Arabidopsis thaliana: one gene and its partners. The protein of the gene in region 1 binds, or shares a complex with, the protein of each later gene. Each region holds a gene or a part of one and is shown in the gene's direction. Other genes may lie near its edges.

Region 1 (11,510 bases):
ACGGCTCTTGACCTCCGATCGAGCTACGAGCACGAGTAGGTAGGCGGCATCTGTCTTTTTTTTTTTGAAGTTGAGTCATTTCCTTTCCTAAGACGGCTCCTCTTATTCTACGATAATCCAAGCAGCAGCTGCCCGAGTCCGCTCGGAACCAGTCGATTCCTGAGCCTGGACTCAAGGTCTCTCCTGCCTGCGAGTTTGCTGCGAATGCTGCGAGTAAATACATGAACGAGACGAGTGAGTTAGTCTCCGAGCGAATCCGGCGGGTCTTTCAAACATCCAAGTTGCCACTTTTCAGCTACTTGGAATGCATGAGACCCCTGCATTTAGGAATCTTAGGTTACCTCCAGCCTTCTGAAGCGAGTTGACCTTCTGTTGACCTTATATCTGTCTACCTTATATAATAATGAATATGAAAGGAAAGCACTAACTCCTGAGCTTGGGCAAAGTTGGCTAATCGATTTAGACTATTATAATAGAATAATAAATCCGCGACTTGGGAAACCCTTTCTTCATTCGTTTGGCGGGAAAGGAGAAACCATTTCTTCATTCATTGGCGAGAAAGCATTTCGTGCCTTCGTCCTAGGCTCGGCTACTTCTTTCTCAAATAAGACAAAGATTGCACTAGACCTTGAGCCCGGGAAGACCGCTACTAGCCCTTTACTCTATTGGATTGATTTGGTCGAGACCCGGTTTCTCCTTCCTAGAAACCTGAAACTGCAATCCGCGAACGACCGCTTTCTTCCTTATTAGCCTAATATCTTACTCTCGGACTACATTTGTCTAAGAGCAGTTGAGGAATCTGCAACTGAAAGAAAGGAATCATGGAATCTGAACCCAAGGTTAAAAAAAGGGGAAAGAACTACGGAAAAGGTTCTATCACGTTAATCGTCACCCACTTACGCTCCCTAGCCATCTCTGGAATTGAACTTCCTCGGAACAGCTACAATGCTTTGAATTCCTCTGTGCTTTCACGAACAAGCCGAATAACCTTCTATTTCGGAAGAGGCATTCTGATACCATTCACCCATAGATGATATTGAGAATTCTCAGGTTGAAAGCCCATCAACTTAACGCTATCTGGGGCCATTCAGAAATTATAATCCACGAAAGGAGCCATCACCGGACTCGAGCCGGGAGAACCTTTGAACAATACTGGCTGCCTTTGCTCGTTGACGACTAGCCTTTGTTCTTTGACCGAGATGTCGACCTGATCACTTTTCTCAAATTTCAGCAACAACAATAAGAAATAGTAGAGCCTTCAACGGGACATTCGAACGCAACAAAGGGTTTCTTGACCGCCTTTGAACGACAACTCGATAATAGAATAGAAGACTTTCTTCGTCGACTTACTCGCTCGCATGACAGCATTTAGTGGTCTCTTCACTGGCTTAGGCTATATTGGGGAACGCTCGGCTACAAGATTGAAAAGACCGATATGATAGCTCCACGGCCGGAGCCGATACTTCTCTCTCAAACCATTACCTTTCCCCGCCACATTCTTTTTTGACGGAGAGACGATTCAAGAGGATCCAGCTAGGCTGAAAGCGGAGGATTCTTTCTTTACCTGTGCCCCGGACCCAAGCTCGGCTGAAGGCAAGGAATTCTTTCTAGACTGACACGCAAGCTAGGCTGAAAGCAACCCGGGTTACAGCAATGGGGATTCTCTCTTCAATTAGAAATGATATTATATTGGTGACTACTCCCTTCAGATTGAAGATTTGAAAGATAACACGCCCACCGCCGGATACTCTTCACGTGCTGATACCTATATTGGATTGGTGAACAACCCTGGAGTTTAGGACATTTGAAACTATAGAAAGACCTTAGCCGCTTTTATGATATAGTCCTGAAGACCTAACTCTTAGAAATGACCTACTAACTCATCGACAAAGAAAGGACTTCGCCTTGACCTTCTGACCTAGACGTCGAACCAGTGCCTTGGATTCATCAACAAAGGGATCAAAGGAACTCATCTGTCCCTCCAAACGGAAATCTTGGTTTTGTAATTTGATCTCTGACAAAGGGAGAGGGAAAGAAAGACCAATCCGTATCTTTGAAAGAAAAAGATTCTCAGAAACGCTACCACCGAACATCGACTTACTCGGCATCTTCGGATTCAAGCATTTCATTCGTTCGTTGGCGCAAAAGCCTCGTTTGGCGGGAAAGCATTCATTCGTTTGCGGGAAAGCAAAAGCGTTCAGCATTGACTTCCTAAAGCGACTTCTTAGCGTGCTTCAACAGCGCCCAGATAATGCCTTGACCGGAGCCGGAGGGAGACCTAAACAGAAGAACGACCTCGCAGTGGCAACATAGCCCATCCTCAACTCATACCTCAGATTTTGAACCATACTTTGAGTCCTCAAACTTTGAGATGGACTGGACCAACACTCTTCTTTGAGATGGAATTCCCACCACTCTTATTTGACATGAACTGTAACGCTACTCTTTCAAAGATACCTAACAACCTTAGCTGGCATTGATCACTCTTCCTTCCCAATCCCTCCATTTAGAATTGCAAACATCCCAACTTCCAGAGCTACCTATGAGCCAAGGGCGGAGGGAGATATATTAGACTGATCAACTTCAAACAAAACGACCTTCCTGGACTCGCTTTCATCTCCTTCTTTGAAACGACTCAAATAATTGAGTGGGCATTGGGAGCCTTATTTAATGGTGGATTCCTGAGCTATGAATGTCTCTGAAATCGTGATGTCAAAAAGGAATGATATGCGATTATTAACTTGCTTCCTTCCCTCTAATTTTCATGCAGTAGTTGAATTTTTGCACTCTTACCTGGATGCGATTTTCCGCCTTGAATAGATGGAGGTGTTTTCCACCTTGAATTGAGAATTTTTGCATGCTCGATGGGATTTCTGCCTTGAATTATGATACATTTATTATGAATTTTTGCATGCTCGATCTGATTTCCTTCGCTGTATGGGAGTGCATAGGCCTATTCTAGCATGGGGTTTCTCGGGGTAAGGCTTGTGCTTTTCCTTCCATATAAGACTAGCTATGTGCTCCCTCGGTACGCCTGTATTCCTTTCGTGGATTGGAACCTACGTACTGTTGTATTGTAGCGTGATGTTTTCCCACTGCTTTCTGGCTTGACTCACATAAAGTACGTGCGTAACTGGCACTATCATGTAGGTGCGAAATCTGTCTTCTCCTATGTCTTGTTCTCCCAGTTTGATTCCTATGTTTCGAAGTCCAGCTAATTAGTGAAGGAAAGTGGTATGGATGTTTGGAGCTCAATCCATCGAATTCACTCGCTTCTTTGCGCTGCGTTGTAGCTCTTAGATTATTGGGAGGAGGTCATTTCGAATGTTTTGTAATTTGGAATCGTTTTTTCTTCAAGGCACGGCTTCTTGAATCGTCTTTGTCTTGTAGAATGGTTGTCATCTGGAATCTAACTAAATAGTTAGTTAAGAAGACGCGTGCTTTGTTTGGTTTTGATCTGGAATTTCACTATAAGATAAGATAAGAGTGAAGTGCTTTGTTTGGGCAATCTGCCTCCCTAAATCTAGTGGAGGTCCCGGTCCCGCCGCTCCTGTTTGTAATGGGGCCGCTTTGTGCCAAATGTGTAAGTTGTTTTTTCAATCCGTTCTAACTGTAATAAGAGAAGAGGGAAGTCCGTCTAAAGAAATTAGTGAAGGAAAGTTATATGGATGTTCATTAGTTCAGTAAAGTGTTAGTAATGTTGCTGGGAGTAACCCTTTGATCTGATCTGTCTTTGTACGTGTTATCTTGCGAGGCTGTCAGGTTGGCTTGTGAGGATGGGGAGAAAGCGGGCCGAGAATCTTATGTCAAAAGGACCAAGGATGATCTTTTCGGAAAGGAGGAGTAGGAGGAGTCAGCTTATTCTATAGATACTGTAAAAGCCAACTCATGTTTCCACTCAATTTTCATTACGAAGATGTATCACGTCAAGATCCGTTGCTCAAACCGAATCACGCCAACGTTATGGAAGTTCCTGGATCGTGTGAAATAAGAGTAGTACCAAAGGCACCCTATAATTTCATAATAAAAAATGGAAAATTGGCTATGGAGATTCCGCGCGGTCAGAAATTCATACAGACACAAAGGGGTTCGACAGGAAAGTCCTTTCGATCTAATCCATTCTTGGGGTCAAATAAAGACAAAGGATATGTAAGTGACCTAGCACGACAAAGCACTCTCCGAGGGCATGGAATGTCTAATTTTTCGGTCAGAATCTCGACAGTAATGTCTCTATTAGATTTTCCGGTCGAAATACGGAAAAACTCCATTCAATTCTCGATGGAAACGGAGTTTTGCGAATTCTCCCCGGAACTGGAAGATCATTTCGAGATCTTCGAACATATTCGGGGGTTCAATGTGACTATTATCACTTCGGCCAACACACAAGATGAGACTTTACCACTGTGGAGCGGTTTTTTGCAAAAAGATGAGGGGGAAACTCAGTAAGATGTCGTAGAAGCAAAATAGTAGAGATCACAAACGTAGATTGCTCGCGGCTAAATTTGAATTGAGACGAAAGCTTTATAAAGCCTTTTGTAAAGATCCCGATCTTCCTAGTGATATGCGGGACAAACATTGTTATAAGTTGTCCAAGTTGCCAAGAAATAGTTCCTTTGCACGAGTCAGAAACCGATGTATTTCCACGGTCGCCCTCGTTCTGTATCTGAGTTCTTTCGAATTTCTCGTATCGTTTTTCGTGGATTAGCATCTCGAGGTTCTTTGATGGGCATAAATAAATCGTCTTGGTAGCAACCACCAAACCAATAGAACAAAGAAAGGTTAGCTCCGCAGCTGGTCCACAAGCAAGGTAAGTAAGCCCATTACCAGCCGGCTCCGGACCGAAAAGTAACGTATTTAAAACCCTTATCTTGGATCGGAGATGCGAACGGGGCGGGAATCGAAGTGGGGGACCTCTCTACCGCTTGTGTCTATTTCCTGTCAAGTATGCTCCCCATACATAGACTACGTACAGGTAGTACTCTTGGAAAGAAAGATATAATGCATGAACATAACATTAACTTACGAATGTAACTCCCGACCACTCTTCTAAATATACTAAGGCGGAGAACTCTTGTTCATTGGAGCGCCGTAGTGCGGAGGTTCTTCCCATCATGGAAGTCCGAGTTGGGACTGAGCCTTCCGAATGATAATGCTTTGTTTCGTTGGAAAAACCAACGCAAATCTCATATTGACTTTCTATCGCCCTACTTCTAAGGATAGATAGAGAGAGTTACTTTATGAAATTATCTCCCTTCTAAAGCAGCGCAAGTCGGCCCCCCCAGAACAAAGCCCCTACTCCCGAGAGGTATAAATGACTCGACTAAAAGGAGAGGTATTTATTACTCGAGCACTTGTTGCGAGAGGTCCAACGTAATTTATTACTCTTATAAAAGAGGGAACTCGACTGAAAGGAGAGGTTGTTTACATACTCGACTAAAAGGAGAGGTCCAAATGGACTTCTGTGAATTACAGTGATCCAGTCTCACGGATATGGAGCTTCGCCGGAGATGGCAGGGCAAAACCTGATGGACCTTTTTTTTTTTTTTCTCAAGAGGTGATTTCGAGAATCAACCAACCGACGAGACTAATTCGAGGATGTGTTAAAAGAGAGTCTAACCGCCAAGGCAAGTCCCATGGATAAGCCCCAGCCTCCCTCTCGTTTCACTCTCGTTCCTCTCCTTACAGTCGAGCTCCTTTGTTCCTTCGGACCTCTCGCCCAAATGAAATGGGATGAATCCAATCAATAAGCTTATTGATTGATTCAGAGCGCAGCGAAGCCAAATTCAATCAAGGCAAAGGGGGGCTTACTTTTCCTGACGCTGAGTCATCCTATTCAAATTTAGCTATGCTAATGTAACAGGAAAAGTTTTCACAGATGATATGGATCCCAAGAGATGAGCGAGAACCTCCAATTGCTTAAGGATCGCACTCCGCTATCCCGCTTGGTGGACGAGATCTTCTCTCGGGTCATCCATCCTGGGTTACTGAAGGGTTGTCCGACTGCTCGGTGACCGAATCAGAGAAGTTTTGACCGCTTTCTCTTCTCTCCAGCACTCTCGGACTGATCATCCAATCCATCTTGCTGCGACAAAGCAAGCTTAGGAATGAATCTAAGAAATTTAGGTCTCTGCCCGCTTGAAAGATTCTTCTTTCCTTTTCGGTGAAAGAGGGCAAAAGTGTGTAGGAGAAAGAATTCTAAAAACGTCGACGCTTAATTCGCCCCCTCCATCCTTCAAAAGTAAAAGAAAGGCTCAAATATCAATATTATATATATATTTGAGGATATTTTAGGGCCCTAGAACGCAAAAAAAAGGTGGGTGAACAAGAGTTGTCACGATAGGAAAGAGAAATGACTATAAGGAACCAACGATTCTCTCTTCTTAAACAACCTATATCCTCCACACTTAATCAGCATTTAGTAGATTATCCAACCCCGAGCAATCTTAGTTATTGGTGGGGGTTCGGTCCGTTAGCTGGTATTTGTTTAGTCATTCAGATAGTGACTGGCGTTTTTTTAGCTATGCATTACACACCTCATGTGGATTTAGCTTTCAACAGCGTAGAACACATTATGAGAGATGTTGAAGGGGGCTGGTTGCTCCGTTATATGCATGCTAATGGGGCAAGTATGTTTCTTATTGTGGTTTACCTTCATATTTTTCGTGGTCTATATCATGCGAGTTATAGCAGTCCTAGGGAATTTGTTTGGTGTCTTGGAGTTGTAATCTTCCTATTAATGATTGTGACAGCTTTTATAGGATATGTACTACCTTGGGGTCAGATGAGCTTTTGGGGAGCTACAGTAATTACAAGCTTAGCTAGCGCCATACCTGTAGTAGGAGATACCATAGTGACTTGGCTTTGGGGTGGTTTCTCCGTGGACAATGCCACCTTAAATCGTTTTTTTAGTCTTCATCATTTACTCCCCTTTATTTTAGTAGGCGCCAGTCTTCTTCATCTGGCCGCATTGCATCAATATGGATCAAATAATCCATTGGGTGTACATTCTGAGATGGATAAAATAGCTTTTTACCCTTATTTTTATGTCAAGGATCTAGTTGGTTGGGTAGCTTTTGCTATCTTTTTTTCTATTTGGATTTTTTATGCTCCTAATGTTTTGGGACATCCCGACAATTATATACCTGCTAATCCGATGTCCACCCCGCCTCATATTGTGCCGGAATGGTATTTCCTACCGATCCATGCCATTCTTCGTAGTATACCTGACAAAGCGGGAGGTGTAGCCGCAATAGCACCAGTTTTTATATGTCTCTTGGCTTTACCTTTTTTTAAAAGTATGTATGTGCGTAGTTCAAGTTTTCGACCGATTCACCAAGGAATGTTTTGGTTGCTTTTGGCGGATTGCTTACTACTAGGTTGGATCGGATGTCAACCTGTGGAGGCACCATTTGTTACTATTGGACAAATTTCTCCTTTGGTTTTCTTCTTGTTCTTTGCCATAACGCCCATTCTGGGACGAGTTGGAAGAGGAATTCCTAATTCTTACACGGATGAGACTGATCACACCTGATCAGTGAAAAATTCTGACACCAATCATTTACATATTACACCAAGAATTGACAAGCAGATAAGTTTTCTAGTTTGCTATGTTGATATAGCTTAGATAGGGAAAAGATAACTCCACTATAGAGTAGGGCTGTACTTCAAAAATCAAAAAGGGTCCCTCTCCCCCTTTTTTTATTAAAAAATCAAAAAAGAGGCCCCGCCCCCCAAGGCCTAAGGAAAAAACCTCTGATAAAGAAAGAAAAAATATAGAACTAACCTTTACACTATAACCATTAAGTCAAGTTATTAACAATCCTATACTAAGAGGAGAATTCGGATCAGCTCGGGCGGAAGAGGAGAGGCGAAGAAGAAGACAATAAGCACTCAGATTGGACCAACCTTTCATTTAAGGTTCGTCATTATCTTTTCAATCCTGACTAGAATCAGGCTTCTCTTGAAAAAAGGTAAGGAGTTATTCGATATAATATGGTATTAACCCTAGCGCCTAAGTCACCCCCGCAAGGTAGGAAGAAGATAAAGGAGAAAGTGAACGGAGGAAAAAAAGGCGATAAGCGAACCGGCGGGCGGTAAAAACCACAAAGAATTTATATAGAAAAATAGGTACTACCAATATGAAATTAAGAAAGACATATATACCTGAAACAAAATTCTGTAATGACTATGTGACCATGAAGGGAGTAGTTGATTCGCGTTCCAATTCATTGGCAAAATCCGGTATAAATATAATAATATAACGAGATCGTCGTCTTGACAAAGATGAATAGAAAGAGTGCTTTTTTTTTAATGGTAACAATTCTTATTGTTTTTTTTTCTTCGAAGGAAGATCTTTCTTTGACTAAAAAGGTTTCCATTTTTAATAGATTGTTTGTGGTTGTACCTTTACTGCAAGAATATAAATGACTCGCTATTCACTCGAGGTTTCTGGGTCATAATGTAGGAGAGATGGCCGAGTGGTTTAAGGCGTAGCATTGGAACTGCTATGTAGGCTTTTGTTTACCGAGGGTTCGAATCCCTCTCTTTCCGTACCTTTACCTAATTCACCAACGTTACCGACCGCGCAATACCAATCGAGACCTCTAAGACGAACTAAAGGGATGTCTCTAAGCAGCCAAGGCCAAGAGCAAGCAGGAGTGGTCCTATCCGCCCATTCATTTTTAAGTGACTTATAAGACGTGAGAGATACTCTAAAGTCATAACGGGGAAGGCCAGAGACTTCGTTCAAATGGGGGGAGGTTTTCTCTTCAATAAAATGAAAGGCAGGTATTTTTATACGAAAATTGAGAATTCAATAATAAATGTTCACTTGAGATTAGGTTCGCGAAGAAGAAGATCACAAATGAGATCTTGAGCTTGAAGCTTACTCTCCAGAATCGAAAGATCTCTTATCCCCGAGGCGAGGATGGCTTCATAAACTTTTTTTGCCGAAGGAAAGATAGATAAGGGGTTTCATCCATATTTTTCTCCCATTTACGTATCACGTTCAGAGATTTTAATTAGTTGTCCGCTCTTTCCGTACCTTTACTTACCGACCAAATACCAAGACTACTTACAACAGGTGGTGAGGATCAGCACACTGCGGGAATCTAAGGAATTGATTGCTGTGCATCGACCAATCTCAGAAAGGGAACTATAAAAGAAGGTGAAGATGCACCGAGGCATTTATGAAGACGCATGGTATGCTGTGGAGAAAGGGGTGAAAGGAGTAGAAGCGGCAGGGCAAGAAAAGGATAGTGATAAATGGACAGACGCTGAGAAGAAGAAGTCGAAAGTATAACAGCAAAGCACTGTCAGCAATCGCAAGTGACACATTCAAGGGTGAATCATCCAAAGATGCTTGGGATATCCTACAGAAGGGTTGACAAGTGTAAAGAGATCTCGTATTGATATGCTGCTGGCTTCACGGAGGAAAGAGAGACCATTGAACAATTCATCTGTGCTTTGCCAATGCTGCTCAAAATGAAAGACAAAGACAAAAGTCAAAAAGCTTCTGTTCTGTAGCACACTCCCGGCGAAGCAGCCCTTCGCAAGCCATGAATGACATAGATACCCTTGCGTTTGATGTTGTTGTAGGTCACCTACAAGCGTATGAAATGGAGACTGAGAAGTCCGAGAAAAAGCATTGCTGCAGCACACACTAAGACAACAAGAGAGATATTGAAGATTCAATCGGCAGCACACTGCTTGCTAGAAACTTTGGCAAAGTAGTAAAGAAGAATGGACAAAGTAGGAAAAACCCTTTTACACAGAACACAACAACAAATCGTGATCGTGTGTCAAAGAAGGGAGAACAACAGTGTAGGGATATGGCAAAGCTGAGCACTGCCTTTTTTTAGAGAAGAGACTTCAAATGTTTTTAATGCAAAGGTTGCTTCGCTAGGGGCACACAAAAGCTGAATGTGTGAATACTCCCTTATTGGTTTGCTTGGAGCGAGAGCGAAACAGACGAGGATGATGATGCAGAGGAAGTCTCTGGATTCGTAGCATTTGTGATAAAGATGAGACGCTTCATTCGGACAATTGCTTTGCTAGTGAAACAAATTTGCTGCTTTACTCAAGCCCACACCCTCAAGGGGTTACTTCGTCACCTCCGTCAAACCCGCGTCAAAGCCCCTCGTCAAAGACCTACGTCAAAGTAGGTTGCTTCGCCACCTCCGTCAAACCTCCGTCAAAGGAGGCTGCGGGAGGCTACGGGGCTGCGGGAGGCTGCGGGAGGCTACGGGGCTGCGGGAGGCTGCGGGGGCTACTTCGCTGGGAGTGTGCGCTTATGCTGAAGAAAGAAAGCAGGTCCAGGTTCAAAGCGTAAAACGGTGAAACCAAAGGCTTCTTCAACTCGAAGAAAAAGCAGGAACGGAAAGAACTTTACTTCCTGGTGAAGCAATTTTCAGGATAGAATTCTGCCAGCTTAGGAATCTGAACATAAGCAGTAGAGCGAGGGCATAGATTACTCTGGTCATGCCACCCCAGCAATTCCAAGAATTAATGCAAGCAAAGCATAGGAGTGTGATTTCTCGTTTACCTTCTTTTGCTCTTAGGAATAAAGGTAAAAAGAAAAGCAGTGTGCTGGACAGCACCTTTCCTACGTTTGAAAACGAATTGCCGGTACTCCACTTAGACTTCTGCACCTGACCTAGTGGCTGAAGAAGGATCTCCCTCAAGTGATTTGCTGCTTCCTCCCCGACGTAGGTTTGACGGAGGTATCAGTCTCGTTGCTAAAGCACCTTCGGACCTCTTTTTTCGTCTATTCTTTGGTTAAAGCTAAAAATATTTCTTTTCATTTTGGATCATTCAGTAGCTCAGACTGGAACTTGAGAGCTATAACCTTTTTTCCTTAATTTCTTCCGTTGCCGTATCTTGCATATATAAGATCGAGATATCTCTAGTATTCATAATCCAGGATTTCGCCATACTCTTACACCTTACCCAGATCTTATAACTTATAATAAGATCATCTAGGCTAGGACGAGGCAGACTACCATCAATAAAAGAGCGCTTCAGTCAACATATACAAAGTCCAGCATAGTTAGATCCATTAAGAGTTGAGCCAGACCCGGATGATCACCGAAGATAATAAGGGCTAGAAACATTATCTGGTGAATCTGAGACAACGAAGCTGCGATCGGCAACACAAACCATTGGAGTGTGCTGGGGAGGATCTGAGCTGTAGAAACCCTTGATCCACTAGGTAAGGTTACTTCCAGAGCGGAGTATGCTCAGGTGAAACTGGTGGTGATGCCGATCTCTTCTTTCTCGATTTCTAGTTCCGTTTCGCCATTGTTGAGGAAAAAAAGTGATCCGAGACTCAACAAATCGAAGAGAAAAGGAAAACTTTGTTGATTCAGGAACTGTGAAACGGAAAGTCTCACCAGAAAGTAATTGCACTCTCTTTGAAGAGGGTCTTCCCTTTGTAAGCAAAGGTAATAAATGCTCAATGAGGAAAGATTATGAATTTATTCTTTCATTTCGGCTTAACATCTCTTAATAAT
Region 2 (11,219 bases), on another chromosome or scaffold:
AAAAATTAAGGTTACATTTAAAAAGTACTTCCCAAATAATATAGTAGGATAGAAAATTGAGAACAACATCTTAATTCGTAAGAAAAATAGTATTTTTTTAGAACATCAATTATTTTGAAATAGAGAAAAATACATTATTGTAGAGTTCAAATACACATTAAAAATGATATTTTTCATATACACATATATACAGTTAAATTTGAATATATATATATATATATATATCAACAATAATACAAAATAATAATCTACAAGATCTTGTTTACAACAAAAAAACGAGTTAAGTTGTGTATTACATAACCTCACTATAACATTTGAAACTTGGTAAAACACTAAAAACCTGAGCAAAACAAATTAACTATCATAAATTTGCCACTATCTACAGGTAGTAATAAGCCCAATAAAATAAGTATGAGCCCAGTGAAGCCCAATGCACTAAGTTATTTTCTTCCTCTGACCAGTTTCATCTCTTTGCTCTCGACAAAGCAGCTGAGCGACTTTTGCACATTTCTAGGGTTCCAATCAAAATCTATCTGCAACAAAAATGGCTAATCGTTTCAGATCAGGGATCTCCTTCTTCAAGACCATCGCCGTAACAGATTCTGTCTCCTCCGTTAGATCCAAGTCGCTTTTCCCAGCGGTAATTCGCATTCTTAAAAATCGAATCTTTTCAGTCCAATTTTTTGTTCGGAGTCGATTCTTACGAGATCAGTCGATCCAATCGCCTAATTGGATTGATAACAGTATAGAATGGGGATTATCGTGTTTTCTCGCTTACATTGCTCGGCTTTAGATGTTTTGGAAGTCTTTTAACTCTATCTCTGTTATTTTCCTGAGAATGCTATCAATCAATCTTTAAAGTTTGTATATTTCTATCGCAGTTGAGAACTTATGCAACTGCTTCTGCTCAAACAACCGCTAATGTTAAGGTACACCCTTTTATCACCATCGTATTATTTTGTAGATGCGAGAATCGCGACAATGGCTTGAATTGTTTGATTGGCATAAATGATGAACCGCGGATAGCTGGATTTTGTATAATATGTAATGGAAGTGTATCTAGATTTATACTTGTTGTTGTTTCAGGTGCCTATTGCTTTAGTTGGTGAAAATGGGAACTTTGCTTCATGGCTATACATTGCAGCTGTGAAAATGAATTCCTTGGAAAAGATTGAGACGGATCTTTCTGAGATGATTGAGGCAATGAAGACAGCTCCTATTTTTGCTCAGTTTACAAAGGATCCCTCTGTTCCTAGAGGGACAAGATTGGCTGCTATTAGGGATGCTTGTGATCAAGCAAAGTTTGCCGAACCCACTAAGAACTTCCTCTGTATGTAATTCAAGTTTGAAACTGTCTTGTTTTTATGATTTTGATTGACCTTGTTGTGCTGATATTAAAAGTTGTTTGCTTTCTGTAACAGCTTTGTTAGCTGAGAATGGAAAGCTGAAGAACCTAGATGCCATTGTGAAGAAATTTATGCAGCTGACAAACGCACATAGGGGAGATGTCAAAGTTTTGGTTACCACAGTCATTGTAAGCTTTAGTCTCAATACTTGTTATCTCTTAAATAACCATAAACTCAGTATTGTGGATTTAATCATATGGTTTGGACAGCCGCTTCCCCCTGCTGAGGAGAAAGAACTGACTGAGACGCTTCAGGAGATCATTGGAGCAGGGAAGAAAATCACTGTGGAACAAAAGGTATGTAATCAGATATGCATCAAAGGCTTGTGATTTTCTAGTAACCCATAAAATGGATATAAGCATCTATGTCAATGGTGGTAATGTGTGTTTGTAGATTGATCCAAGTATCTACGGTGGACTAATCGTAGAGTTCCAACAAAAGGTGTTGGACATGTCAATCAGGACAAGGGCACAACAGATGGAGAGGCTCCTCCGTGAACCTGTTGACTTCAACAACCTCTGAAAATCTTGAGAGAAATTTCCCCCAAGAAAACATGCTTGTGATGAATGCCACCAATTGACAAATAAATATGGACCCTCCTGGGAAACAATATAATAGCTGGCCACTTCTCTCCCTTTGAATTTTGTCATTTGCTTTTTACATATTGTTGTTTGCTTCGAAATAAAGCTTTTCGAGACATCAAATTTCAATGAGATTGTTTTTGTTTAGATTTGAATCGTTGGGCTAATTTGGTAAATAAATCTACAAACTATGCCCAAGTAGCTTATTCATACTCACGAATGAACATTAAGATGCCACGAAGCTACATAATTATCATGTTAGAACACCGTCATTGTTCTCTTCAGTATTAATAGTAAAAAAACCAAATTGACGATTTCTCGAAGACTATTAAAGGAATATCCGCAAAGAAGAAAAAAAAACATTTTTTTGGTAAAGGACTAATCTTTTTGTTTGCATCGGCCATCTCTAACCTTACGATTGTGTGTTCTTGCTTTGAGCGAAACCCTAGAATCGGTCTTAACCCATTTGAGCAGAGATGCTGCGAGTAGCAGGAAGGAGGCTTTTTTCTGTTTCGCAGAGATCATCGACGGCGACCTCCTTCGTCCTTTCCCGTGACCATACCCTTTCCGATGGAGGCAACTCCTCTTCCGCTTCTAGATCTGTCCCCTCTGCAGATCTCTCATCTTTCAATTCTTACCACCGGAGCGTTATAAGAGGTCTGCCGATCTACAACTCTTTCTGTCTCTCGATTGATTTTCATTTCTGGTGTTATCCATTGAATGATTCATAAATTTTTAAAAGTCACCTCTTTTGGGCTTGTATAAGTCCGGAAATGATTGAGATTCCTAGTTTCGTATCTGCGAGATGATCTATGGGAATTAAGTCATCTGTTTTGAATTCTTATGATGTGTATTAGAGCTTGATGTACCATTTCGTCTCATTCTTCTCCTTGCTGGAATAGTGATTGATCGGATATGAATTGACCAGCTTTGAGATAATCCTTTTTTGATGAGATAATCGATTTTGACATGTAGTTTATTCATTATTATGGAAATGGATGTTTTATCGTCTTTGGGCACATCATATAAGATACTTGCATCAGTAAACGAATCTGGAATTCCATATCTTTAACCAAAAGGGCTATGTTTGCAATCTTATCTTAGGAGTTTTCTTATGTTTTAAGCATTTATGATCATTGAAGTTCCTTCCTTGGATCTTGCGTTAGATAGATTAGTTTAGTTTTCACTGAATTTGATATCATGGTAGAAAATTGTTTGGATGACACCTTCTGTTATCTCTTGGAATCCGTTTTTATAATCTTATGTTATTCTATGCATTAATGTTAAATGTTTGCTAGTGTTATTCCTTTCTTCTGTGTTATCTCTTGAAAATATTTTTGCTTAATACTTGGTGTTGTTGAACACTTGACCAAGTATAAAGTTTGCCCTTGATGTGAAATATTAATGTTTCATGCTATTTTCAGGTTTTGCTTCTCAAGTCATTACTCAGGGAAATGAGATAGGTTTTGGTTCGGAAGTCCCAGCCACAGTCGAAGCTGTCAAAACACCTAACTCAAAGATTGTCTATGACGACCATAACCATGAGCGTTACCCACCTGGTGACCCTAGCAAGCGGGCATTCGCCTATTTTGTCTTGTCGGGTGGAAGGTTTGTTTATGCCTCTGTTCTCCGCCTGCTTGTTCTGAAGCTTATTGTGAGCATGTCTGCAAGTAAAGATGTCCTTGCCCTTGCATCCCTCGAGGTTGACCTAGGGAGCATAGAACCAGGAACTACCGTGACAGTCAAGTGGCGTGGAAAGCCCGTCTTCATCAGGCGAAGAACAGAAGATGACATCAAGCTGGCCAATAGTGTGGATGTTGGATCCCTGAGGGACCCACAAGAAGACTCGGTTAGAGTCAAGAATCCAGAATGGTTGATCGTGGTTGGAGTATGCACTCATTTGGGGTGCATCCCCTTGCCTAATGCTGGTGATTATGGTGGTTGGTTTTGTCCGTGTCACGGATCACATTACGATATATCTGGAAGAATTAGGAAAGGTCCTGCACCATACAACCTGGAAGTACCGACCTACAGCTTCTTGGAAGAGAATAAATTACTCATTGGTTAATGAATAAAGCACAACAGTCCGAGTGTCATGGTCTGGATGATCTTAAATCTGTTTTTGTTTTTATATTTTCCGGCATTTTAGCGTGCAAGTTCGCTTTCCTCACACTTTGGGCTCAGCAAAAATTGGCTTGTTTTGCTGAATAATACAAACTTGTCATTGTATGACTTAGTATCTGTCTCATCTGGTGAAAATACATTGTTCATACTTCATAGTCTCTGTTTATTATTTGAAAAGAGTTTTGAATAGTATCATCCCTATTTTTCTTATGTTTGTAATTTTGTAACATATCGTTTGTAAGAGAGTTTCCTTTCCTTAAAGTCTGTAGCCATTATCACAATTGAGACAAAAACTTGGTAAGGTTCAAGGTGTGTTATAAAACTTTCGTGTTCTTACTGGAGACGACATTTCGAAGACCTTCAATTCTCAACTAAGCCATAAACCTTCTCTTCCATAGTGAGAAATCCAATTGTGAACCTCGAGACTACTACTTTGATGAAAGATGTCATATTCTGGTTGTGGATCTTAGCCTAATTTTCTTGTTCAGATTGTTTTCATCGATGACTACTTCTTTGATGATGTCCTTCTAGCTCTTTCTTCTAGTATTGAAAAGTTCACACAGATGTAAAACAGTCTTTTTGTTGGAAATCTTGTTTAAACATTACAACAACAAAATATATCCTTTACCAAGTATAGACCCCCTATTATTATTATTAAAAATTACGATTTTTATACAAATAAAATAATTTATCTTACAAATACACACACACAAAAAAATTATATCGTAAAACCAAAAGATTTTATTAATTAAAATTAGAAAAAAAACCATGCCATCAAAATCCTGAAGTAAAAAAATATCAAGTAATACGCAAAAACCAAAAAAAACAAAACAAATTGACCTTTTCTCAAAGACAATTTTTAAGGGACTTACTAGTAAGTAGTCTCTTATGTTTTGTTTTGCATCGGCCGTCCCAAACCTGAGGATTTCTCTGTTCAGCTAGAGCGAAACCCTAGATTCACATTTGAGCTGAGAGATGCTGCGTGTAGCAGGGAGGAGGCTTTTCTCTGTCTCGCAGAGATCTTCGACTGCGACCTCCTTCGTCGTCTCCCGTGACCATACCCTTTCCGATGGTGGCGGCGACTCCTCTTCAGCTCCCAGATCCCTCCCCTCTGCAGATCTCTCATCTTACCACCGTAGCCTTATCAGAGGTTTGCCGATTTATAACCCTTTCCCTCTCTCTCTACATTGATTTTTCATTTTCGGTGGTTCTTTGCAGTTTTATTTGATTGATTGATTTTTGAAAAGGTCTTCTTTTTTTGGTTGTATGATTCACGGGAATGATTGAGATTTCTAGTATTGTATCTGCAATGATCCGTGGGAACAAACGTGTCATCTGATTTGAATTCCATGAGCTTGATGTACCATTTGGCTACATTCTTCTCCTTGCTGGATTTGTATTGCATTTGATGATTACTTCTTTCGTGTGGATTGTTCAGTTCTGAGATAATCCTTTGTTTTACTAGGAAAGTTTCCTCTTTTCGGTGCGTTAATCATAGTATGATTCACCACTGGCTTCTTGGTTTTTGAAATTTGATCTTGTGTATCAATCCTTTTGAGTTCTTCATTGTTAGGGACATGGATGTTTTAACTGTATACTATGTTTGTAGGATTTATAGCTGTTTAAAGGCATGCTGAGGAACTTGCATTCTGAAATTTATGTTTTCTTAACCAAAGAGCTTTGTTTGTTCTTAGCATTGGAAATTTTGTTGTGTTTTAAGCGTTTCTGTAATATACAGCATCTGATCAATATATTTTTTTCTCTTGGTTTATTACGTTGGTTTTAGTATTTAAGGTTTCACTGAATTTGTTATTATTGATTTGTTTGGATGAATTTGGTATACTTGGCTTCTCTGATTCATTCTTTCGTCCAGAAGGAAATGAACATTTGAGTTTATTGATGGATTATGGATTGACCTGTTTAGATGTAATTCTTTGGTTGATGACTAAAGCTCCTTGCTTGTAAATCATTGGAATGCGTTATCCATAGTGTGATTCACATTGGCTTCTAGATTCCAATTTTTTGTTCTTCTGTTTCCATGTTGATCATTGAATTTGTTCTCTTGTTTTTTTTATGGAGATTATCGTATTTAAGTTTCCACTCCCCGAGTTTGATACGATGGTTTGAATTGTTTGGATGGATCTCATACTTCATGGAATCCGTTTTATGTACTTTTGTTTTTCCTTAGAAGATTATACATCAATGGTCACATCTTGATTGTGGTAGTCCTGTGGCTTATTCTTATTCTTGTAGAACACTTGACCAAGTATAAAGTTTGCCTTTGATGTGAAATATTAATGTTTCATGCTATTTTCAGGCTTCTCTTCTCAAGTCCTTGCTCAAGGAAATGAGATAGGTTTTGGTTCAGAAGTCCCAGCCACAGTCGAAGCTGTCAAAACGCCTAACTCAAAGATTGTCTATGATGACCATAACCATGAGCGTTACCCACCTGGTGACCCTAGCAAGCGTGCATTCGCCTATTTTGTCTTGTCGGGTGGGAGGTTTGTTTATGCCTCTGTCCTCCGCCTGCTTGTTTTGAAGCTTATTGTGAGCATGTCTGCAAGTAAAGATGTCCTTGCCCTTGCATCCCTTGAGGTTGACCTAGGGAGCATAGAACCAGGAACTACCGTGACAGTCAAGTGGCGTGGAAAGCCCGTCTTCATCAGGCGAAGAACAGAAGATGACATCAAGCTGGCCAATAGTGTGGATGTTGGATCCCTGAGGGACCCACAAGAAGACTCGGTTAGGGTCAAGAATCCAGAATGGTTAGTGGTTGTTGGAGTGTGCACTCATTTGGGGTGCATCCCCTTGCCTAATGCTGGTGATTATGGTGGTTGGTTTTGTCCGTGTCACGGATCACATTACGATATATCTGGAAGAATTAGGAAAGGTCCTGCACCATACAACCTGGAAGTACCAACCTACAGCTTCCTGGAAGAGAATAAGTTACTCATCGGTTGATTAATAAAAGCACAACAGTCAAGAGTCTGGATCTGAATGATGATCTTCACTTGTTCTTTTTTTCTTTTAATTAATATTTTCCGGCATGTTAGAGCAAGATTGACTTGTTTTTGCTGAATAATACAAACTTGTGATTTTTGTTTGAAGTATACTCAATCTTCGTTTATCCATCGCTAGTAAAAGACGACTATGTTCATAGTCTGTGTTTATTATTTAACATGCCTATTTGTCCTATGTATGAGTGAGATTCCTTTCGTATCTCATAATTCTAAACATCGTCATTCCAATTAAAAAGTTGTATTTACATTTGAGTTTCGATAGTATCTCAACGTTCATAAAAGAAAAACTAAAGGTATGAGAAAAACCAACGTAGAAACAAACAACAAAAGGTAATATATCAGCTTTGATTGATAGTTTACAGGAAGATAACCGAATAAGTTCAAACTGTATTCGTAAGACATCCCGTGAATGAATATTCAATCATCCAAAAGTGGCATAGCTAGATTTTTTCTAGATTGGCTAAGAACACAAAAACATAATATTTTATTCTGTTTAATCTTTTTTAGTTAAGAAAAAATGTTTGACACACAAAAGCCAAAGTTTGATTTGGGTAAAAACCATTGTGGGAGATGAAAATGTTAAAATCTTGTTTGTTTTGGTCACCAACAACGGCCATGAACTATATGGGAAGTGACTTATCTCTTGTAAGTTGTTTTCCTTTTGGGATATGGGAAGTGACTTCTCCGACCCTTGCAAACTAACAACGGCCATTACACACTAATTACAAGCCAAAGGTCCTCACTAAGCAACCTCTCGTGTTTATCATAAGACACCGCTCTATCTCTTATTATTTTATTCATTGTTTTCTAATTTCAGACTGATTAATCATACATTAGAGAAAGTTTATTAAAACCATCTGATGTAAAAAATCACATTTATCTAAATTAAATAAATTTGTTATCTAGTATATAACTATTTATTGTTTTAACATTTGGATAAATTGTAAGAAATTAGAATGTAAAATAAGACAGAAAATGGTCAACTATGAGCATCTATCGCCATCATGATATAGTTTCGTCGTTTGCGTTCCCGACCTAACTCAAAACTTCACCAACCCCATTTTTAAGCCCCTTTCTTTGTTTTTATCCTCCGATCGATCAAACCAAGAAAAAACACTTTCGTATTTCCCTCGACGAAAAAAATGGCAACCATTTCGAATCTCGCTAATCTTCCCCGCGCCACCTGCGTCGACTCCAAATCTTCTTCCTCTTCCTCCGTCTTACCTAGATCCTTCGTCAATTTCCGCGCTTTGAATGCAAAGCTTTCCTCTTCTCAGCTTTCTCTTCGTTATAACCAACGATCAATACCTTCCCTCTCGTAAGTCTTTATATCCATTTGATGCATGTCTTTTGTCTCTGTTTCTCGCTCTTGGGGTTCACCAAAAATTGAATCTTTTTAGCTGGAAACGTACCACGAATCTCAAAGTAACATTTTTTATAAGATGGATTAGGAAAAGCAACTGTATTTCCCCTTTTTGGTTGGTAAAAGTCTGATTTTTTTGTTTAATTTGCAGTGTGAGGTGTTCAGTGTCTGGTGGAAATGGAACTGCTGGAAAGAGAACGACTCTTCATGATCTATATGAGAAGGAAGGTCAGAGTCCTTGGTATGATAATCTTTGCCGTCCAGTCACAGATCTTCTCCCGTTGATTGCTCGTGGTGTTAGAGGTGTTACTAGCAACCCTGCGGTAATTTTATCATCTCTCTTTGTGTGTTTGGTTTTGCTTTTGCTCTGTGTTTGTTCATTTGTCTTTACTTCTTCACTTTTTATACATTTGCAGATCTTCCAAAAAGCCATTTCCACTTCAAATGCTTATAATGATCAATTCAGGTATCTTTTTGTGATTGTCTTAGACTTGTGGTTGTTAACAACATGCTATTAAAACTTTAGAGTTCTTCTTTATATGAAAAGTTGTCTGATATGTTAATGGTATACCTGACATGCACTATTAGGACACTTGTGGAATCGGGAAAGGACATTGAAAGTGCGTATTGGGAACTTGTGGTGAAGGATATTCAGGATGCCTGCAAACTTTTTGAGCCAATCTATGACCAGACAGAAGGTGCGGATGGCTATGTCTCTGTTGAAGTTTCACCTAGGCTTGCTGATGATACCCAAGGAACTGTTGAAGCTGCTAAATATCTTAGCAAGGTTGTCAACCGTCGTAATGTCTACATTAAGATTCCTGCTACTGCTCCATGCATTCCTTCCATCAGGGATGTCATTGCAGCTGGAATAAGTGTCAATGTCACGGTAAGTTATCCTAGTATGTTTCATTATTCAAGTTTCTTATTGCAAGTTTTAAAGAACTTCAAAATAAAATAAGTCATAATACTTCAAATTCATGTATTGTGTGATGATGTGCTAGATCACTGGATTTCTTGGGCGTTTTAAACCTGAAACTAGATTAGTTCAAGGGTGTTCCAAGGATGCACTGATGTTACCTTTTCTAAATCGTTTCTCATATGTTCTGTTCTGTTTCAGCTTATATTCTCAATCGCCAGATATGAAGCAGTGATCGATGCATATTTGGATGGCCTCGAGGCGTCTGGACTTGATGACCTCTCAAGAGTTACCAGTGTTGCTTCCTTCTTTGTCAGTCGGGTGGATACTCTCATGGACAAGATGCTTGAGCAAATTGGTACCCCTGAAGCCTTAGATCTCCGTGGGAAGGTAAAGCTCTATTCATCGCTGAGATCTTACACCAGCCACTGTGAGTAGAGTATTAGCTTATGACACATGATATGTTTACTCTTGCAGGCGGCTGTGGCTCAAGCTGCATTAGCATACAAGCTATACCAGCAGAAATTCTCTGGCCCAAGATGGGAAGCTCTGGTAAAGAAAGGTGCCAAGAAACAGAGACTTCTCTGGGCATCAACAAGTGTAAAGAACCCAGCTTACTCTGACACCTTATATGTCGCTCCTCTCATCGGACCTGACACTGTAAGTCATCTTTTTGTTTGTGTTGAAGTCAATAGGCTGTATTAACGCTTTGGAAGTATATTCATAGTTTTTGTGGGTGTGATTTAGGTATCAACCATGCCGGATCAAGCCCTGGAAGCATTCGCAGATCATGGAATAGTGAAGAGGACAATAGATGCGAATGTGTCAGAAGCAGAAGGGATTTACAGTGCACTAGAGAAGCTGGGAATAGACTGGAACAAAGTAGGAGAACAGTTGGAAGACGAAGGAGTAGATTCCTTCAAGAAGAGTTTCGAGAGTCTGCTCGGTACACTGCAAGACAAGGCCAACACTCTCAAACTAGCCAGCCATTGAGGAAATGAGTCATCATTATGTTTTTGGTTACGCTAAAATAAAAAGAAGAACCTTTGGCTTTTGTTCTTCAATCCTTATGCATGCTTTCTAAAGTGGTTATGATGGATTTTGCTTGATGTTCCACATTATGGGTTATTCTATTTTCTTTGTTCTTGTAAGATGATGCTTCAGAAGAGTTTGTTACTTTTTACCGTATTTGTAATTTACATTTTCACTGAAAACAATTGGCGAGTAAAAAAGTGTCCTTGTCTTCTTCTTTGTTCGGATTATATGAACAATTGTTCCTAGAAGCCTCTCTACATAAAAAGCTGAGACTTTATCTCTCATCTCTCTTTAGACGTACAAAAAAATCAGTTTTTTAAGTTTCACTCTAATGGCGTCAATTTCGTCCTTTGGCTGCTTCCCTCAATCCACAGCGCTCGCCGGAACTTCCTCCACCACCGTACGACGCCGCACCATCTCTCTGTTTCTTCTTCTTCTTCCTTTTTATTCACTGAATCTCTCATTTTGATTCTCAGAGATGCCGGACGACTGTGGCTGCTCGATTAGCTGACCAATCAGATGACTTCGCTCCTCTTCGTTCTTCTGGTTGGCTTGCTTCTACAGTTTTACTTTTCTGTTTCCTCCTCAACAGTGAATTGAATTATAACTTCAGTTTTGAAAACAGGTGGGAATTGTGGATGTGTTAATAATTCTGGAGAGTTTGATCGCAGAAAGTTGTTGGTTTCTTCTGTTGGTTTGTTGATTGGAGCATTGTCATACGATTCTAAAGATGGAGACTTTGCATCAGCTTCTCAATTTGCTGACAGTAAG
Region 3 (8,662 bases), on another chromosome or scaffold:
CCTGTTCTGTTTCAGCTTCCATCTCCTCTTTACTATGTGCTCCAGCATCTAAATATTCATGAAACAAGAAGATTACTCATATAAAATTAGATCTTTATGGGAGAAAAAGGAACAATTTGTGATACACAGAGAGATTACTCAAATCTAATTTCATCCAATTGGAACTATAAGCTCAAATGTTCCACAATTAGCAGAATACTAAATCTCATAGGTGAGTCAAGAAACCTCAATATGGTAGTTACCTAACACGAACAGAAAGATTCATCAATTGAAATCTGAATTCTAAGTAGAAAGAAAGGAACAATTTTTGTAAGAAACCTGGGAAGCCACCAGAGAGAGAAGGAGAAGAAGCAGCATTGGAGACGATGAGACGGCGAGAGGGTTGGCCGGAAATCTGACGAGACATCTGAAAATGGGTTCTAGAGGAATCTGAACTAAACTTGTCGCTGAGAGATAATGTTGAGAGAGTCTGCTTTGGTTGGTTCAAAAAGAAGATGCATGTGGTGTTTAAATTCATTGTTGCTTCCTACTAATCAGACAGAAGAATAACATCAACTACACAAAAGTTCTGACATTTTTGTTCTGTTTTTTCTAAATTAAACGGCAAGGTTAGATGATTCAACAGTGTTTTGTCTTTGTTTGTAAAACAAATTAAAAAAAAAAATGGTGATGAATTCCTGACTTCTCATTCTCAGTTCTCACCTACACAATCTATTGGACAAAAACTAAAGATCATTGGATGAACAAGAGGACCTAAACGTAAAAAGCCCACTCCATTCGTTGCCACTTGGCTTCTCAGTATTATGGGCCGCCAAGATTAAACTATTCCATGTTTTGGTATTACAATTTGAAAGTTTTATTTTTTTTACTGCTTATTACCAAACCGGTTCACAGTTTCACACATAATATCAACATGACTGGTTCATACACCTTTTACAGGATCACTTAACACAACACACACACACACACACACACTTGATCCCAGACTTGAATTGAATCTTGCTTGGTTGTGGAAAAAAGCCCAGGACTAGCCCAAACCAGATTATTTTGTTGTTATGAAACCAGATTGGTTGGTGGCAATAAAAGCCCAGGCCTAGCCCAAACCAGATTATTGTTGTTATGAATACCTTACCTTCTTTCTTTCTTTTTTGTCAAGTATCTTACCTTCTTTCTAGGGTTGTTATTATAACTTTGAGTCAATTGCCTTGCCGGAAAACAAAATTGGCGCTGTTTTCACCGTCTCCATGGCCAGTTCTAGCAAGGAAGTTAATTTATGTGGTTTGTTTTCAGTGGCTCTGAGCTACTATCTACTTGGCTGTTGATTTTATTTCTTTTCTTTTCCATTGATCTGCTCTTCTTTTAGGTAAGAGAAATCCGGAAGATGATGATTTGGAGACCAAACCGTTTCTCAAGAAACATAAGGACGAGGAGAAGAAAGTAACGTCGGATCACTCCACTTTTTTTTTTTAATACATACACCACTTATGTATGTATGTATGTGAATGTAACAGGAGGAGACACCGGAAGGACTTGCTGATAGCCTCCAGCACAAGTCTGATCAAGCTAATTTAATCTCTCTCAAGGTTTAATATTGTAATAAGTTTTATTATGTTCAAATTAAGCATCTTGTTCTCCAAAATCTGTTCCAACGGCTACTCGCTTAACAGGAGGAGGAAAGTACTGTGGAAGGACGTGATGACACTCCCGATTTTGTTGAGGTAGCTACCTCTCCTTATGCAATTTTGTTTTGTCCTTTTCGTCATGCTAACACAAACTTCTGCTTGGCTGTTAAATTCAGGAAGCTTCCGTGATAAAAAAATACGCTCTTTATGGGCCGTATCCCTCACCGAGCCCCATTATCACATATCGTCGCTTTCTTCAAAGATGTTGGAGAAGTTGTTCATGTTCGACTTGCTATAAAACGAGATGGTGGGCGTACTGGCTCTGGCTTTGTTGAGTTTGCTTCTCCCTATGAAACAAAAAAAGTGAGACCAGTTTTTTTTTTCTTTGAAAACTTGTGTATAGTTAGTTATATGTTTAAACGTATCCAAGGTTATTTTCTGACGTTTTTTTCACTCTAGGCACTGGAAAAGAAGGATGGAGAATGTTTGCTCGATCGCAAGATTTATCTTAAAGTGCCTAAGCTAAGCTCTTCATTGACTCTTCCTACGTAAGTAAACATGATTTTTCCACGTTTTGTAACTGATTGCTAGACTTTTTGATACAATATCACAGAAGACTAAGGCTTTTCATTTTTTGATTAATTAGGTATTGCATAGATCACCAGGTTTGGTAAGGGAACAAGACTTTTTTTTGAAGTTTTTTTGTATACATGTAGAGATCACTAGCGTTTTCCATTTTTCTAGGTACCAAGACTTCCTTCCACGACAAGAAGATGAGACACCTCCCGCCGATTTTGCTGAGGTACCACCCTACTGCCCTCATTATCTTCAAAACGCTCGAAATGTTTACTTATTTTCTGGGGCTGAATCTTGCTAGCTACTTTTTCCTTGTTTCCTGCTAACACACTTGTTCCTGTATAATGCACAGGAAGTTCTCTTTGTTGCCAATCTCTCCCCCCAAACTAAGATATTAGATATGTAAGTAGCACTCCCACTTTTCTTCTCTGAGCAAAGAAAAAGTAACTCTCCCATCACTCATATTTTACCCTCCACTTTTGCAGCTTCGGTTTCTGTCAAGATGTTGGAGAAGTTGTTAGTGTTCGACTTATTGCAAACCATGAGGACAAGCCTGTGGGCTGTGCCTTTGTTGAGTTTCTTTCTGCCAACGAAGCAAAGAAGGTGAGACTGGTTTTGTAGTCATGATGGACGATTTTAGTATTTTACTAGTCATTTTGAAAATTAGTGTATACAAACTTATGATGAAAAACATACTACTAGTTTTTTGAAAGCTGGATAGCTGATTAAATCTTTTTAATACTGTAGGTGCTGGAAAACAAGAATGGTGAATATTTTCATGGTCATAAGATCATTTTGATGAGAGGACATGGTGAAACTCCCGATTTCGCTGAGGTACCTCTTCTTGTTGTCTTCACAATATGTCAGGCTCAGCAGAAACCTTTAATAATAATAACAGAAATCTTGTGTTTTTTTTTTGTGCAACCTTAAGTCCTTTTCTTCTTTGCGTCGTGCTAACTCACTTGGCTGTTAAACGCAGGCTGTTGCCACAAGTAAAAAAAAGACGCTCTTTGTTGCCCATCTTACTCCCCAGACTATAATATCAGATATGTAAGTAGCACCTTAAGATTTCCTCTTTCGTTATTGGAGCAAGTTTCTCATGACTAATATTTTATCCTCCACTTTTTTACAGCATCGACTAATTGTTAACCACACTGGCAAGCATGTGGGCAAGGGATTTGTTGAGTTTGCTTCTGCTAAGGAAGCAGAGAATGTGAGAGTTGTTTTTCTAGTAATTGATGAAAAGTAATGTATACAAGTCGCAGTCATTTGATTAGTTAAACCGTTTATTTATACTCTAGGCGCTGGAAAAGAAGAAGGGTGAATATTTGCAGGATGGCGAGATTTTTCTTAAGGCGGCTAACATAGCTCCATTCCCTCCACCCAAGTAAATTAATTTTCCATGTTATGGAGATTTGTTGCTGTCAACTTATTGCCACCACAGAAGACTAACACTAATATTATATTTCTTAACTAGGTGGTGCGTAGATCACAAGGTTTGGTAAGGAATTTTCAACTATTTGCATCTTGAGGGTTTGTTATCAAGAGCACATTGGGTGAAGTTTTTGGTATACATGTAGAGATCACAAGGGTTGTTTAATGTTCCAGGTACGAAGACTACCTTGGACAAGAAAGAGATGAGGCAGCAGTGGAAGGACTTGCTGAAACTCCCTATTTTGTTGAGGTACGCGTGTTGTTATCATCTTCAAAATATGTCAGGCTCAGAGGGGAAATGCTCAAGTGTTTGATAACAAAACTGTTACCTCCTTAGAGCCATGCTAACACACTTGGCTGCTAAATACAGGAAGCAAGAAAAAAGACGCTTTTTGTTACCAATCTCCCTCCTAGAACTAGTATACAAAGGATGTAAGTAGCACCTTTAGTTTACTCTTTCGTTCTTGGAGCAAGTTTTTCATGACTGATGTTTTATCCTCTTCATGTTTACAGGTTGTATTTCTTCCAAGACTTTGAAGTTGTTCGTGTTCGACTTATTGTTGACCAATCGGGTAAGCATATGGGCTGTGGCTATTTTGAGTTTGCTTCTGCTAATGAAGCAGAGAAGGTGAGTAGTTTTTATAGCAATGATGAAAACTAGTGTATACTTACTTATATGATGAAATTGTTTTGATGAAATATTTTTATACTGTAGGCGCTGGAACAGAGGAATGGTAAAAGTTTGCGCTATCACAAAATCTTTCTTGAGCTGGCTGAGATAGCTCCATACCCTCTCCAACACATGTACATTGATTTTCCATGTTATTGCTCTAGTTTTGATGTCATAACAGAAGATTAACGTTATCATTTTTTGTTAATTAGGTACAAGCTTGCAGAGAAGCTTTGGTAAGGGATTTTTTAACTACTATTTTGCCTTTAAGAGATTTTTTGTTATCAAAGGCAAATTCGGTGAAGTTTTTCGTATAAATGGGGAGAGATCACAAGGGTTTTTGATACAATGCAGGTACGAAGACAACCTTCTACGAGAATCGAATCTGAAGCAACAGAAGGCAAAATCCAACGGATTCTGCGGTAAGAAGATTACCTTCTCTTACGGGGACGACTGCTAGAAGATGAAGAAGCTCTCTTTTTACGGGGATTAGTGTAGACACTGAAATTATTATCCATAGTAAACTGAAAATTCAAAAAGGGAGTACGGCTTACAGGTCGGTCTGATTTCGGTTTACCAAACCGGTTCACAGTTTCACACAGAATATCAACATTACTGGTTCATACACCTTTTACAGGATCATTCAACACAAGTACACAAAACATAGGCAAGAAGCTCTCCATTTATCATCATCCCCTCCACTGATCCTTCTTGTTCCGAACTTCCCTCATTGTATCAATTGGCGACTTGCAACCGAGTTTCTCCTGGAAAATAACAAAGTTAATCTCGATATACGACAAGAAAGTAAAGATCGATATCAACAGTGATAGCTGATAAAACCGAATCATGAATTGTTCAAGAAGATGAACCAAATGGAGTAATAACCTGTATCTCTGGCTTATCAACACGCATAAATGGATTTGTTTCGAGCTCTTCCTCCAGTGTTGAAGGGATTGTGGGAAGATCTGCTTGGCGCTGTTGACGGGCCCATGCTAACTTCTGTTGTATCTTCCCGTTGTTTGGTTCCACAGTTAGAGCAAATTCCAAGTTCTTAACGGTGTACTGAGAACCATAAGAAATGAATAGCGGATTATTCAGTTTATAGGCATCCATTTTTATGAGTTAAGAACTCAAAAGACATAATGAAGCTGTTGATTTTTTTACCTCATGGCCGCAGTAAACCTGTGTCGGTTTAGGTAATGCAGCCAGAGTCACACACAACGACTGATACATCTGCTCAGCTGTCCCTTCAAAAAACTTCCCACATCCAGCAACAAACTGTATAAAATCAAAGTAAACACAGCTTAATGTTTAACTCATAACTATCTCCATTTAGACATTTACAGAGATAAAAGATCTACGGAGAACATATAGGGTCCATGGTAGGGAAGAACAAGAGGATTCAGCTTAATGTTACCACTTACAAGTGTATCTCCGGTGAACACGGCTGGGTTTTCTCCTTCTTTTCCGTTCACATAATAACTAATGTGACCCTTGGTGTGACTGTAACAAGTAGATATATCAGAGGAATCAGCGATGACAAGAGAAAATGACTGAGTTAAACATCAAGTAGATTAGATGCATCTAAATTCATTGGAAAAAAAAAAAAAAAAAAAAACAAACCAAGGAGTGTGGAGAGCCAATATGTTAATATCCTGACCCAAAGTCAGCTTGTCACCATTATCAACCGCATCAGTGCAACCCTTCACCTTATCCAGAGAACCTCCATATACTTTGATATCAGGAACCAACTGCTTAATCTTCTCGTTTCCACCGGCATGATCCCTTTGATCATATCAAGCCACCAATCAAACAATGAGTGTTAAAATAAAAACGTCGCCTCAAATCCAAATTTCATCGAAGACAAAGGCAACCATCATATGGTACATATATAATAAATCTTGCATCTTCAAGAGGTGAAACATTAATGCAGAAAGTATCAGACTTTAACAAAGAATCAGACTCACGAAGATGAATCTCTAAGTCAGTTGAAACTGATAGTAGGAAAAAGCTAAACACTTGATCAGAAAACTGAGAGATTTAACAATAGACTTGTACTAATGTTAATGTCTAGGACCGGAATCTAGCATATGTCGATATCACTGAGTAATAAGAACCAACAGAGAATCTCGGAGATGAATCAAATAAGATAAGTTACCAGTGACATAGAGAGAAGTGAGGTTTACTTACCAGTGATGATGCGTAGTGAGTACGAACTTGATCTTAGCTTGGTGCTTCTCAGCCGATGCGATCACCTTCTCCGGATCAACTGGATCCACAACCGCCGCGTCTCCGGTGCTCTCATCGATTATCCTGTTTTTTTTTTACGAAGAAAGAATCCTAAACTGATGATGAACCGAGTCAGATTAAGAAGCAACGAAATTGAAGTAGGATATCAAAATGGCTCACAGATAAGAGTAGTTGTCTTGCAGACAAGGAACGTGGAAGATCTTCATCGTCTCCTTAGATCGATCGTCCTTCTCCTCCGGAACACTAGCTGTATCATCATCATCATTTATGTCTGGACTAGTGATTTATCTATTTCGGTTTACTCAAACCGGATCGAACCGAAACAAATCAGGATAAATTTTGCAGCCGGTCATCCGGTTCAATTGTAATTGTAACTGAACCGGAATCGGATAAAAAACATAAGCTTCGTTGAGAATTGTTTATTTTAGGTTTTGGGGGAGATTCGTTCTCGTACTGTGGATTGTTGTTGTTGGGATTATCTGGGAAGAGAAAAAGAAAATGGGGAAGCAGCCGGTGAAATTGAAGGCGGTGGTTTACGCACTTTCTCCGTTTCAGCAGAAGATCATGACCGGTCTCTGGAAGGATCTGCCGGAGAAGATCCACCACAAGGTCTCTGAGAATTGGATCAGCGCCACTCTTCTCGTTACCCCTGTCGTTGGAACCTACTGGTACTCTATCTCTCTTTCTATCTCTCTCATCAATCGATTGGTAAAGGAACCTTTGGATCGAGTTCCGATCTGGTTGATTGTTCTTCGATCTGTGTCATCGGTCTTGTGCGGCGCATATGGATATAGGGTTCTTCGTTTGTGTCATAGGAACAAATGAGAAATGATAGGATTTAAGTTAGTTTGAGATGAGTATTAAGTGGAGTGTAGTATATAGAGACTCTCAGCTAGAAAAAGTCTTCCAGGTATCAAATTAGTATTGTTGATGAACCACTCTGTGGAATTGCATTTCAAGATGTTGAGGATTTAAATGGCTTAGTCGTAATCATTAGCTGATTAGTGTGGTTCTATTAAAACTGTTGAGTTCTTGCTTGTGAAGCTATTAGTTACCTGATCGATCTAAACATTACGGGTGCTGCATATTATGGTCTAGTTTCTAGTCATCTTTTGTGCTTATTCTTTCAAATACACACAATGAATGCAGGTATGCTCAGTATTTCAAGGAACAGGAGAAGCTTGAGCACAGATTCTGAAGCATGAAGTCACTCCTTTTCTACAAGAACCTGACAGTTTGAAGTAATTTCTTTTGTTTCAAGCCTATAAATTTCACAAAAACTCTTGTGGGAATCTTCTGAGTCAGTTTTTCTGAAACTCTTTTGCTAAATAAATGTTTGGGTTTCATGACAATGACTCTTGTTGTTCATCTTTCTTGATATATGGTATGAAAATTGGATTGAATCGAGTAATATATTGATCCCTCAAAACAACTATTAGGCAAAATCAAACGCTGCCTATGTTCCCTTAAGACATCAACTACAAACAACTATTAGGCAAAATCAAACACTGCAAGTCTGCAACCACTCCTACAAGGTTTGTGATGAACAGAGTCGTTGGTTGGACTAGAAATGTTGTCCATTTCATCAAGTACAGTTCAGCGGAGTCATTCTCTTCGTCTAAGGCTTTTGAGGTAACTGTGAAGTTGGTGTCGATACCGGCTAGGACTTTAAGTAGACCTTGGAAGACTGCAAATTAGTGATTTATATAAAACTACACGATTTGCCGAAATTTATTTCACTTTTGTGACGCAAGATAAAATTAAGCAAAACATAATTTATTTCAAAACGATTAATATAAAATACCAAAATGTCACAAAAATCAAAAATAAATAAACACTCCCTCGACAATACTGATCACTTAACCGGTTTTAAAACCAACAAAAGGCAATCCTTTAGTTCTTTAAATAGTTTTAGATAGAACCGACGGAAACGGCAGCTTTGATGAGTAAACCAAAGAGAACAAAAGGGTTAGAGAAGAAAGGAGAATGGTCGCTCTCCAATTCGTAAACTTGGCTAGGTGGCCACCGTCTTATCATCGCGTCTTGCTGCTCCGGTTTCATGACCCGGTCGAGTAACGTCTTGATGTACACGCGCGGCACTTGCTCCTCT

Evidence for each region.
Region 2: the proteins of AT2G07727 (region 1) and AT5G13430 are in contact, whole or in part, in a cryo-EM structure (PDB 8BEL), measured with the Arabidopsis thaliana proteins. Residues at the interface, in NP_178804.1 of Arabidopsis thaliana: Trp148 (codon at 6,791), Thr151 (codon at 6,800), Val152 (codon at 6,803), Ser155 (codon at 6,812), Leu156 (codon at 6,815), Ser158 (codon at 6,821), Trp170 (codon at 6,857), Gly173 (codon at 6,866), Gly174 (codon at 6,869), Phe175 (codon at 6,872), Ser176 (codon at 6,875), Arg184 (codon at 6,899), Pro268 (codon at 7,151), Met269 (codon at 7,154), Thr271 (codon at 7,160), Pro272 (codon at 7,163), Pro273 (codon at 7,166), Ile275 (codon at 7,172), Leu288 (codon at 7,211), Arg289 (codon at 7,214), Ile291 (codon at 7,220), Pro292 (codon at 7,223), Asp293 (codon at 7,226), Lys294 (codon at 7,229), Val350 (codon at 7,397); in NP_568288.1 of Arabidopsis thaliana: Ile135 (codon at 6,656), Met138 (codon at 6,665), Ser139 (codon at 6,668), Ala140 (codon at 6,671), Ser141 (codon at 6,674), Val144 (codon at 6,683), Leu145 (codon at 6,686), Ala148 (codon at 6,695), Val165 (codon at 6,746), Lys166 (codon at 6,749), Arg168 (codon at 6,755), Gly169 (codon at 6,758), Lys170 (codon at 6,761), Pro171 (codon at 6,764), Thr216 (codon at 6,899), His217 (codon at 6,902), Leu218 (codon at 6,905), Gly219 (codon at 6,908), Cys220 (codon at 6,911), Ile221 (codon at 6,914), Leu223 (codon at 6,920), Phe233 (codon at 6,950), Pro235 (codon at 6,956), Cys236 (codon at 6,959), His237 (codon at 6,962), Gly238 (codon at 6,965), Gly250 (codon at 7,001), Pro251 (codon at 7,004), Pro253 (codon at 7,010).
Region 3: the proteins of AT2G07727 (region 1) and AT3G10860 are in contact, whole or in part, in a cryo-EM structure (PDB 8BEL), measured with the Arabidopsis thaliana proteins. Residues at the interface, in NP_178804.1 of Arabidopsis thaliana: Glu221 (codon at 7,010), Met222 (codon at 7,013), Gln329 (codon at 7,334), Gly330 (codon at 7,337), Trp333 (codon at 7,346), Leu334 (codon at 7,349), Leu336 (codon at 7,355), Ala337 (codon at 7,358), Leu340 (codon at 7,367), Leu341 (codon at 7,370), Trp344 (codon at 7,379), Glu351 (codon at 7,400), Ala352 (codon at 7,403), Pro353 (codon at 7,406), Phe354 (codon at 7,409), Ile357 (codon at 7,418); in NP_001327236.1 of Arabidopsis thaliana: Val6 (codon at 7,066), Lys7 (codon at 7,069), Leu8 (codon at 7,072), Ser44 (codon at 7,180), Leu47 (codon at 7,189), Leu48 (codon at 7,192), Pro51 (codon at 7,201), Val52 (codon at 7,204), Thr55 (codon at 7,213), Tyr56 (codon at 7,216), Tyr58 (codon at 7,703), Ala59 (codon at 7,706), Phe62 (codon at 7,715), Lys63 (codon at 7,718), Glu66 (codon at 7,727).

Annotation. Positions count from the first base shown.
Region 1 is NC_003071.7:3,444,514-3,456,023, forward strand, and holds AT2G07727 (cytochrome b), read left to right. Parts: upstream 1-5,020; 5' UTR 5,021-6,349; coding exon 6,350-7,531; 3' UTR 7,532-8,263; downstream 8,264-11,510. Other genes in the region: AT2G07815 (LOW protein: cytochrome C biogenesis ccmF-like protein), read right to left, coding at 1-265, 537-599, 901-1,020; AT2G07724 (uncharacterized protein), read right to left, coding at 1,881-2,204; AT2G07725 (Ribosomal L5P family protein), read left to right, coding at 3,889-4,446; AT2G07728 (uncharacterized protein), read left to right, coding at 9,173-9,295, 9,598-9,728, 9,956-10,004, 10,084-10,317, 10,640-10,721, 11,192-11,284, 11,367-11,441. UniProt on the Arabidopsis thaliana protein: Component of the ubiquinol-cytochrome c oxidoreductase, a multisubunit transmembrane complex that is part of the mitochondrial electron transport chain which drives oxidative phosphorylation.
Region 2 is NC_003076.8:4,301,267-4,312,485, reverse strand, and holds AT5G13430 (Ubiquinol-cytochrome C reductase iron-sulfur subunit), read left to right. Parts: upstream 1-4,915; 5' UTR 4,916-5,086; coding exon 5,087-5,261; intron 5,262-6,428; coding exon 6,429-7,072; 3' UTR 7,073-7,380; downstream 7,381-11,219. Other genes in the region: ATP5 (delta subunit of Mt ATP synthase), read left to right, coding at 545-640, 882-929, 1,087-1,330, 1,422-1,534, 1,616-1,702, 1,800-1,928; AT5G13440 (Ubiquinol-cytochrome C reductase iron-sulfur subunit), read left to right, coding at 2,464-2,644, 3,412-4,055; TRA2 (Aldolase-type TIM barrel family protein), read left to right, coding at 8,274-8,449, 8,646-8,817, 8,911-8,960, 9,083-9,383, 9,615-9,803, 9,891-10,073, 10,161-10,406; AT5G13410 (FKBP-like peptidyl-prolyl cis-trans isomerase family protein), read left to right, coding at 10,780-10,848, 10,925-10,994, 11,074-11,214. UniProt on the Arabidopsis thaliana protein: Component of the ubiquinol-cytochrome c oxidoreductase, a multisubunit transmembrane complex that is part of the mitochondrial electron transport chain which drives oxidative phosphorylation.
Region 3 is NC_003074.8:3,392,765-3,401,426, forward strand, and holds AT3G10860 (Cytochrome b-c1 complex, subunit 8 protein), read left to right. Parts: upstream 1-6,810; 5' UTR 6,811-7,050; coding exon 7,051-7,220; intron 7,221-7,701; coding exon 7,702-7,750; 3' UTR 7,751-7,991; intron 7,992-8,047; 3' UTR 8,048-8,162; downstream 8,163-8,662. Other genes in the region: AT3G10840 (alpha/beta-Hydrolases superfamily protein), read right to left, coding at 1-48, 319-517; AT3G10845 (RNA-binding (RRM/RBD/RNP motifs) family protein), read left to right, coding at 1,245-1,278, 1,364-1,437, 1,512-1,583, 1,668-1,718, 2,082-2,170, 2,367-2,424, 2,551-2,600, 2,684-2,801 and 9 more; GLY2 (Metallo-hydrolase/oxidoreductase superfamily protein), read right to left, coding at 4,992-5,066, 5,188-5,364, 5,467-5,580, 5,727-5,805, 5,926-6,087, 6,493-6,615, 6,712-6,758; MES17 (methyl esterase 17), read right to left, coding at 8,464-8,662. UniProt on the Arabidopsis thaliana protein: Component of the ubiquinol-cytochrome c oxidoreductase, a multisubunit transmembrane complex that is part of the mitochondrial electron transport chain which drives oxidative phosphorylation.